Oryza sativa Japonica Group: one gene and its partner. The main gene of each other region encodes a partner of the protein of the gene in region 2 in a complex. Links are inferred from orthologs where the notes say so. Each region holds a gene or a part of one and is shown on either strand. Other genes may lie near its edges.

The links.
Region 1: the proteins of inner membrane protein PPF-1, chloroplastic (region 2) and probable signal recognition particle 43 kDa protein, chloroplastic are in contact, whole or in part, in a crystal structure (PDB 5E4W), measured with the Arabidopsis thaliana proteins. The link is inferred for Oryza sativa Japonica Group from reciprocal best matches to the Arabidopsis thaliana genes ALB3 and CAO. Residues at the interface, in NP_180446.1 of Arabidopsis thaliana: Lys454, Arg455, Ser456, Lys457, Arg458, Lys459, Arg460, Thr461; in NP_566101.1 of Arabidopsis thaliana: Asp273, Glu274, Asp312, Tyr313, Gly316, Leu317, Glu318, Tyr319, Ala320, Val321, Ala322, Trp343, Asp345, Met346, Thr350, Glu352, Asn356, Asp358.

What each region holds. Positions count from the first base shown.
Region 1 is NC_089037.1:1,824,655-1,828,241, forward strand, and holds probable signal recognition particle 43 kDa protein, chloroplastic, read right to left. Parts: upstream 2,180-3,587; 5' UTR 2,103-2,179; coding exon 936-2,102; 3' UTR 797-935; downstream 1-796. Other genes in the region: uncharacterized protein, read left to right, coding at 207-218.
Region 2 is NC_089035.1:2,776,806-2,781,199, reverse strand, and holds the start of inner membrane protein PPF-1, chloroplastic, read right to left. Parts: upstream 3,107-4,394; 5' UTR 2,931-3,106; coding exon 2,565-2,930; intron 2,144-2,564; coding exon 2,033-2,143; intron 1,942-2,032; coding exon 1,867-1,941; intron 1,660-1,866; coding exon 1,599-1,659; intron 1,373-1,598; coding exon 1,299-1,372; intron 1,222-1,298; coding exon 1,117-1,221; intron 751-1,116; coding exon 643-750; intron 545-642; coding exon 441-544; intron 287-440; coding exon 137-286; intron 63-136; coding exon 1-62. UniProt on the Arabidopsis thaliana protein: Required for the insertion of some light harvesting chlorophyll-binding proteins (LHCP) into the chloroplast thylakoid membrane.

The DNA of each region.
Region 1 (3,587 bases), on a different chromosome or scaffold from region 2:
ACATTCATCATTGGATGTACCTCTATGGCCTTCCTTTTCAAATATCGCAAATGCCTATTGATTCCTTGAAGGCTTATAGCTTTATGTGACATTAAAATTCACTTCACTTCCAGAGCTGAGAAAATTATAACGCAGCTCTAAGGGAATTCCATCAGTTGTGCTCTTAGCGCACTTGACTGTCTATAACATCAACCTTAATTTTGCAGGCTGCTGATTGATTTCATGATTACCTTACCACATTGGAGCCAACAACCTGGCATCTTTCTTTTGGTTCTTTATGAACACAAGGCCACCTGTAAAGTATTTACTTTTAGAGTCAAATCTCCTTTTGTTTCTGCATCATTGGTGCAATTTAGCAAATGTGAGATCTGTACACCGGAAGAGTACAATGTAACATGCTAAGAGTGTTTTTTGATAAAGATATTTGATCTATTATTTATTCATTGAAGGAATAAACATATACTTTTATGTATGCTAAGAGCTGTTCCTTTCTATTATCCTGATATTTGGAGCCATCAGACTGCTAGATATGTTCATGTGGTCGTGCAAGGTATTGGCACTCTGTCAGACTGCAATATTGTGCCTGAATCTTATGCATCCTGTTGTGCAGTCTAGCTAGAGTCGTTGGCTTCAGAATGTCTTCCAATTGGATCGGCTGCCTTGATACGAGGCAAGCATTTCTTCTTCTAATCTTGAGAGAGTACTGAATTTTGCCATCCTAATCATACTTAACTGATGAAGGATCCATATGCATCACCATTTTCTGAAACTCTTCACATTCTCAAATTGCAATCTGAGGTTAAAGTTCTGCTCAACTCAAAAATTATCAAAGCGCTAATGATACATTTTGCAGCAGCACAAACATTTTATCCCGTTCTGTTAAACACAGCAAAACCAGGAAGAATCGAACACCCTCCGTCGACGGCGACACGCTGTCACCCGGCGACCGGCGGCGGCGGCGGAGCATCACCGCCAGCAGCCACCCCAGATTGCCGCTGCTCGAACTCCTGGAGGAGTTCGGCGTCGACGTTCTCCGCGGGCTCCCACGTCGCCTCCTCGATGTCCACCCACTTGACAAGGTACTCCCATTTCCCCTCCCCTTCCGCCGCCTCCCTCTTGTTGACGACGGCCTCCGCGACGGCGTACTCCAGCCCGGCGTCGAAGTCCTTCACCAGGTCCTCCGCCACCCACGCCGCCCTCACCCACTCCCTGTCGCCGCCGTCGCGCCACTCCACCAAGTACTCCCGCCACTTGCCCTCGCCGCGGCCGTCCACCACCTTCTCCACTTCGCCCCACTCGTACACGGCCTTCTCCAGCTCCTTCGCCGCCGCCTCCAGCGCCAGCCGCCGCTCGAACGTCGCCGGGTTGCCCTTGGGCGTCTTCGCGAGCACGTCCTGGACCAGCTCCAGCGGCGTCCGGCCCTGCCCGTCGGGGGCCTCCGGCTCGGCGCCCAGCTCCAGCAGCGCGCGCACGGCCGCCGGGCGCCCGTACCCGACCGCGATGTGCAGCGGCGTGAGCCCGCCGCCGGCGCGCTCGGGTCGCCCCACGTCGGCCCCGGCCTCGGCGAGCGCGCGCACGCACTCCTCGGATCCAAGCCCCGCGGCGAAGTGCATCGCCGTGCGCCCCTGCGCATCCTCCGCGTCGGGGTCACGCCGCAGCGTCTCGTCCGCGAGTAGCGCAGTGATCTCCGCCGCGTCCGCCTTCTTGGCGGCCGTCCACCACGGCGTCTCGTACTCCGCCACCACGTCCGCCGCTATGGCCTCCGCCGGGATCCACGAAGGCTCGTGCCCGTCCTTCCACTCGACGAGGTACTCCGTGGCGGTGACCGTGGTGGCCGAGCCGTCCTCCGCGAACACCGGATTCTTGATGGTGCGGCTGGACACAATACGGTCCACCTCGCCGTACGCCTCATCGTCGTCGCCTCCCTTGCTCGCTGGGTTTCTTGGGTTGGTCTGGTCCTGGAACACCGCCGCGGCGGTGAGCCGCCGGTTGGGGAGACGAAGCCGGAAAGGGACGGTGATGGAGAGGGCTGGAGTTCTCTGAGCATTGGGGTTGGGGGGTTTGAGGCGGGAAAGGGATGGGTGTCGTAGGACAGCCTCCATTGGAGTGGGAGGAGCTTGTGGCGCGAGTGGCAGTGGAGTGGAGGGAAGAGGATGATGGGTTTGGATTCGGGAGGGAGAAGAGGATAAGGTGATGGGTCTCTTGGATTGTGTGCGATCTGAGCCACTCGTTTTGTGGCATGGACGGTACAGATGGAGTAGTGCTATTCACATCCGCCAAACGGTCGATGATGCCCATTTCCCACCGGAGATCGGGGTTCGGGTCCCCGTTGCCGCGCGCGGAAACTAGCTACTGTAGCATTTAGATTTGCAGCTATACCGAGAGCCAACTACTTAAAAAAAAATTATGACAATTGAATTAGAATGTGACACATCCTCTATATCTAAATTCGATATTCTAGTACTATGTTATCTTTTTTTTAAACGGAAGTAAGTACATATTAATAATTAGATGATTAAATTTGTATAAATATGTTAACATGTACAATCAAAAGTGTACTCCTTATTGGCAGTTGTGCGTTTGGTTTTATGCATGCTAGCTCATCTTTCTTAACCCAAATTTCCTCTCTCCGTTTCTTGCTAGACCAGATCACAACACCCTGTTTTAGTTTAAAATCGATTGACAACATAAACAAAAACTAGAAGTTAAGCTTGTGCAGCTAGGCGGTGCTTGATTCATGGCAGAGCAAAATCTATGGTGGGTCACGTCCAGAAACACAAAGAAGAAGCTCCATCCATGCATCGACTGGACTTGATTCCGGTCAAGGAGATCGATCTGGCGGCGAAGGCGCTGGTTCGCATGACGAGCTGGATCCGCCTAATCCGATTTGTAGCTCTCTCCCTCTCTTGAAGGGGAAGTTTTCCGATGCTGACCAGCATGCCGGCAAGAAACCAAACATGCCGGATTTGACACAGAGGCCGTCAAGCAAGTTATGTGGCAGTGTGGCACAGGGGGAGCTAGAGTTTTGCCGTGGGGACTGAGCGAAAAAAAGGGCAACCAACGTGATGGCAATAATTTAGCAAGCATCGGCAAAAGAGATTGAGAGGAGTGAGATAAATGGGGATTGTTGGAACGACATGTGCTGATCTTGATCTTGACGGTGTTTGTTGGCACTGCCTCGTAGACCTGCTTTTTCATCTCCAGGCAATGAGTAGACCTCGTCTAAAAATCTCCCTCCTCTTTCTCTAATTGGGTAGTTAGATCCACACATTTTCTTCTTAAGAGCAAATTTAATAGTTTTTTTAGGGACATGCAGAGAGCTCCTACAATTTCACTATAGAAGAAGATAGTTGATATAAGAAAAATCAGACCCAAAAACTTTACAACAGCACGGTTAATTTTAGAAAAACCGGCGAAAACCCGGCATTGACAAACTGAACGCAAATAAGAGTAGTCCAACAAGAGAAGAAACTCCTAAAACGAAGCCTTCAAGAAGGTAACGCCGACAAGACGGCGACAACGTCCGATCCTAACGAATCTAAGGTTTTCACTCGGAGAATTCCCTTGAAGTGGAGTTGAAACAAGGG
Region 2 (4,394 bases):
CTCCTGCAGCAAGCGCTTTGTTGCCTTTTCTCTTGCTCTCCTCTTCTTTCAGCTGTTTAAATCTATTCAAGATATTTTTGTAAAAATCAAAACCAGAATATAATAGGGTTAAAAGCCATGTGAGGTTCAAAAGCACCTTTCACCAGGTTGGGCTGGTTGAGCACTCGTACGTTTTGCTCGTCCTGCAGTAATTATCCCACTACCCCCCTGATTGACAACAGGCTTTGCTCCTCCCAGTTTCCGTAACCAAACTTGCTGGGCTGTGCTGAGGATATTATTTGTGAACCTGATAGCAAACATGGAGTCAATACACATATTGGATTTGATCAATTGCAAGAAGTTAATGAGCAGTGGAGGAGTCCCACAATCTCTATGAGGCATAGCACTATAGCATGGAACATGACTGAAACACTCATACAACTAATAGCAAATGCACATACCAATAAATGGACAACCCTGACGGCACTGACAAAGAGAACCACCCTATCATAAATGGAAGAAATTTCAAAACAAGCAGTGTGTTCTTCTGCGATGGATCATCAGTCTGCAGAAAAAAAGGATCAAATTGCCAGCCACTCATAGCTTGTATAGTGGCAATATGACAGATGATATAGTAATTTAGAGCACCGCTCGTCTGCTCACCTGGGGTGGCTTCATGATTTCCATAGAGACAAACTGAGAAGCAACAAGTAGCACAGGCAACACAAGATAACATATCGTGTCATGCCAGCCTAATGGAGGATGGCCATCCTGCACAATTCATTTAAGTTGTAAGTATGATTTACCATCTCAATATTATGCAAGTACATGAGTAATATGCTGTTTTACTATCATGTCTCTACAGGACTATAAATTGGTATGCCACGCCATTTATTTCAACCAGAGTTCTAAATAATAGGCAACAAAATGCGAGGTGCAAATAGCTAAGCTTCTTGTTGCTTGATTGCTTAAATGACTATGGGCAGAAACGTGACACTAATCTAACTTGACGGGTATGTCAAAGTCAAATAAGGGGGGAAAATGAGGTTAAATTCGCTCAAGTGCACTATAAACCTGATTTTCCTAGATCAGCAATGAAATTGTTGATATATGTTAACGTGTGATCAATTTTATTACCACAAAAGGCAAGAGCCAAGAAATGCCAGCACCACTTTGCCGAGCAGCAATTGTTGTAGGGCCTCCCAAAGATGGAATCCAGAAAAATCCTTCTGTCAGTAATCCCTTCAGAGAAATATAAGCCACTTAGAACAAAATCCTCTTAATGAAGCAAATATTAGGAAGCAGGATTTGAGTTTTACCTCGTTTGCTACATTTGAAAGGGCTTGGTAGAGGCCAATCCAGACAGGTATTGTTGCCAAAGTTGGAAAACATCCTGGAAGAGAAACCATAATATCAAAACACTATATCACAAAAGCAATCTCACTTAAAACTTTAAAAAGCCAACAATTGGTTTTGCAAGCACATGATGGCAATAGATGCATTATGTCGAGAAATAGAAAATATGATCAACTAATAAATAACAAACTCATACAAAAAAGATGCAATGGAACAATTCAACTATCAAAGTTAATAGGCTAAAGAATGGAGAAGTAAGCGACCTGCCAGAGGGTTGACTCCAGCTTGCTTGTATAACCGAGCAGTCTCAAGCTGTATCCTTTCCTAATAAGAGTTATGTAGGAGTGATAGATCAGAAATGCCCAAAGATATGTGCTTGAAAATATAAAACACAACAGTGAAATAAGAACATTTTTTGGGAAGATAGTTCTACCTTCTATCGTTAAAATATGCAAAACATATATCCAGAAACAAACCTCAGTGTTCCTACTTTAATATCCATGGCGTGCGTAAAAGATAAACAAAACAAACCTGATTTCCTGCATATCTCTGTTGAATTGCTTTGATCTGTGGCTGTAAATTCTGCATAGCCAGAGTTGATTCGACCTAAAAAAAGAGAGGAAAAACAGCACAACTCTCAACCCACCATATCCATGTTACTCATTAATTAAAAAATAGACCAGATTTTATCATTTACCTGTTGTTTCGTTAAAGGTAATGTTGCAGCCTTCACAATAACAGTGAGAAGAATGATGGCGAATCCATAAGAGTACGGCACATGAACAGCTGACAGGCCATCCTTCAGCACCTGTATGGTGATACTCACATAGTATCAGCATTCCGGAGCCGATGAATGCTATGCAATAAAATCCTAACAGTTCTTGAATTGTAACATTTCATATCAAAACCTGTGGATAGGAAAATGCTAAACAATGCACGCCTGGTCATAACTAGATATAAGTTACTTAAAAATAACCATGCCGGGTTGCCGTCTGCTCAATGTTTAGTAAGTTTCAGAGCATGGAGGCGTCATAATTAAGTGCATGCACATCTACTCCTGCACTCTCCACGAACTTACATGACTCCAAATCTCCAATTCCCCAACCAATTCACCAGACCAACTTTTGCAACTCAGGGATATATCCATTAACCAATCTTAGCAATCCTGAACCTGAACTCCTAAAGTGACTTGGATTCCTATAGGTTTGGGAGAAGACGGCGGCGCTTACCTTAAGCACGACCTCCAAGGCCTCGGAGATGAACCCGAACCACCCCCCGTTCTTCTGCGCCACCGACGCCGCCGCTTCACCGCCACCACCACCGCCACCCCCTCCTCCTCCCGCCGCCGCGTCCGCCGCGACGACAGCGGCGTCGGCGAGCGTGTAGAGCGCCGCCTCGGCGCGCTCCAGCGCGGCGTGGAGGTCGAGCCCCGCGATCGAGTCGAGCCCGTGGAGGCTCGCCCTCACCCTGCACGCCGACGCGCGGCGGCCCCCGTGCCTCCGCAGCGAAGGCAGCGTCAGCATAGGCAGCCTCGCGGCGGCGGCGCGGGGCTGCAGCGAGGGGAGCAGCGACGAGGAGAGGAGCGCCTTGGCCATCGCGGGGGGTGCGGGAGGGAGGGGGGTTTAGAGGGGGGGGGGGTCTAGGGTTTCATGCACGAACGCCGAGGCGGAGGAGGAGGAGGAGGGTGGAGGTGGGGGGTGGGGGGTGGTGAGTGGTGGTGGTGCGAGAGGAGGAAGAAGAGGTAGTCGTTGGAGGGGAAGAGGCGGAGGTGGGGGATGCTTTATCTTCTTCCTCCTTTCCGCGCTCTTTTGCTGTGGACTCGGTGCACAACTCCACTTCGCCACTTCATCAAAGCGGCTCACTACTACAGTGTACGTAATACTCCCTCTGTCCTAAATGAAACTAAAACTGTATGTAATATTTTCTATTATAATATAGAGTCTATTATGATACATTATACTTGAAAACGTCCCATCCAATTTTATATTCTAATATTTTAGAATAGGTAGTAATGATTTTTCGAGGTTTTGACACGAATAACGTTTCCGTTCCGTGTCGAAACCTCGAAAAATTTGTAAGATGGTTTTCGCCTAAGCACCGGATCCTGATCCATGTGGATATAACGGTTTTTGTCAATTTTTTTATAACTTTTCGTTTAATTTTGGTCAAATTGACTGTTTCAGATTTGAACCATTCTAAATTTCAGTCATAACACTATCAAAACCTCGAATTTTTGCGGTTTTCAATTGGTTTTTATCGAAAACATGAATCCTAATGTCTACACTTCTGTTCACTTCAGTTCGATTTTAGTGAAAAGCCTCCTTGGGGACAAAAATAAATTTTGAAGGACCTTCGTATACAGGAATTACACTGATCTATGCAGAAACCATTTGAAAAAAAAAATGTATTTCAAAGAAACCCCGAGTATTTCGCAACCAACCTTTTTGGCATATTTTTTCTTTAAACATGCACTATATTCAGATTCAACGATGCAATCGTAATTTCATTACAATCATACCCTACATATCAGTTTTCTGAACGTTATTATCATTTTTTTTCTAAACCCATTTTGACAATTGGGTATAGATCGACCAAATGTAAGGCCCCGTTTGAAACACGTGAACTGTTTCCCTGATTCTTGTGAATATTTTGTGTTTCAAACTTTCAGAATGTGAAATACAAACTGAATTGTGCAGCATTGAACAAAGACCGCACCGGTAATAGTACTACTTTGACAGCACGGTAACAGATGGTCAATGTCTGCTAGTAACAGCCTGGTTTCTGAATGATCGGCCCGGGTGAGAAGAGATTGTTTGCCTGAAGAAAATCGAGTGTGGTCAAGGGACTATCTGAAGAATTCGCGAACATTGTATCAGTGAAAAATTATTCACCATTCGTCAGAAAGAAAGAAAAGCACACGACAAACAATGAAACAAACATCACTGGGGTTCAGACTTTCAGAACAGAAGCTGTGATTGTTTCACGACCACACACAACCATCGGTCTCAAGCACATTACGCTCCTTTCTCCATGGCTACACAAACTACAGAACTCGTGAG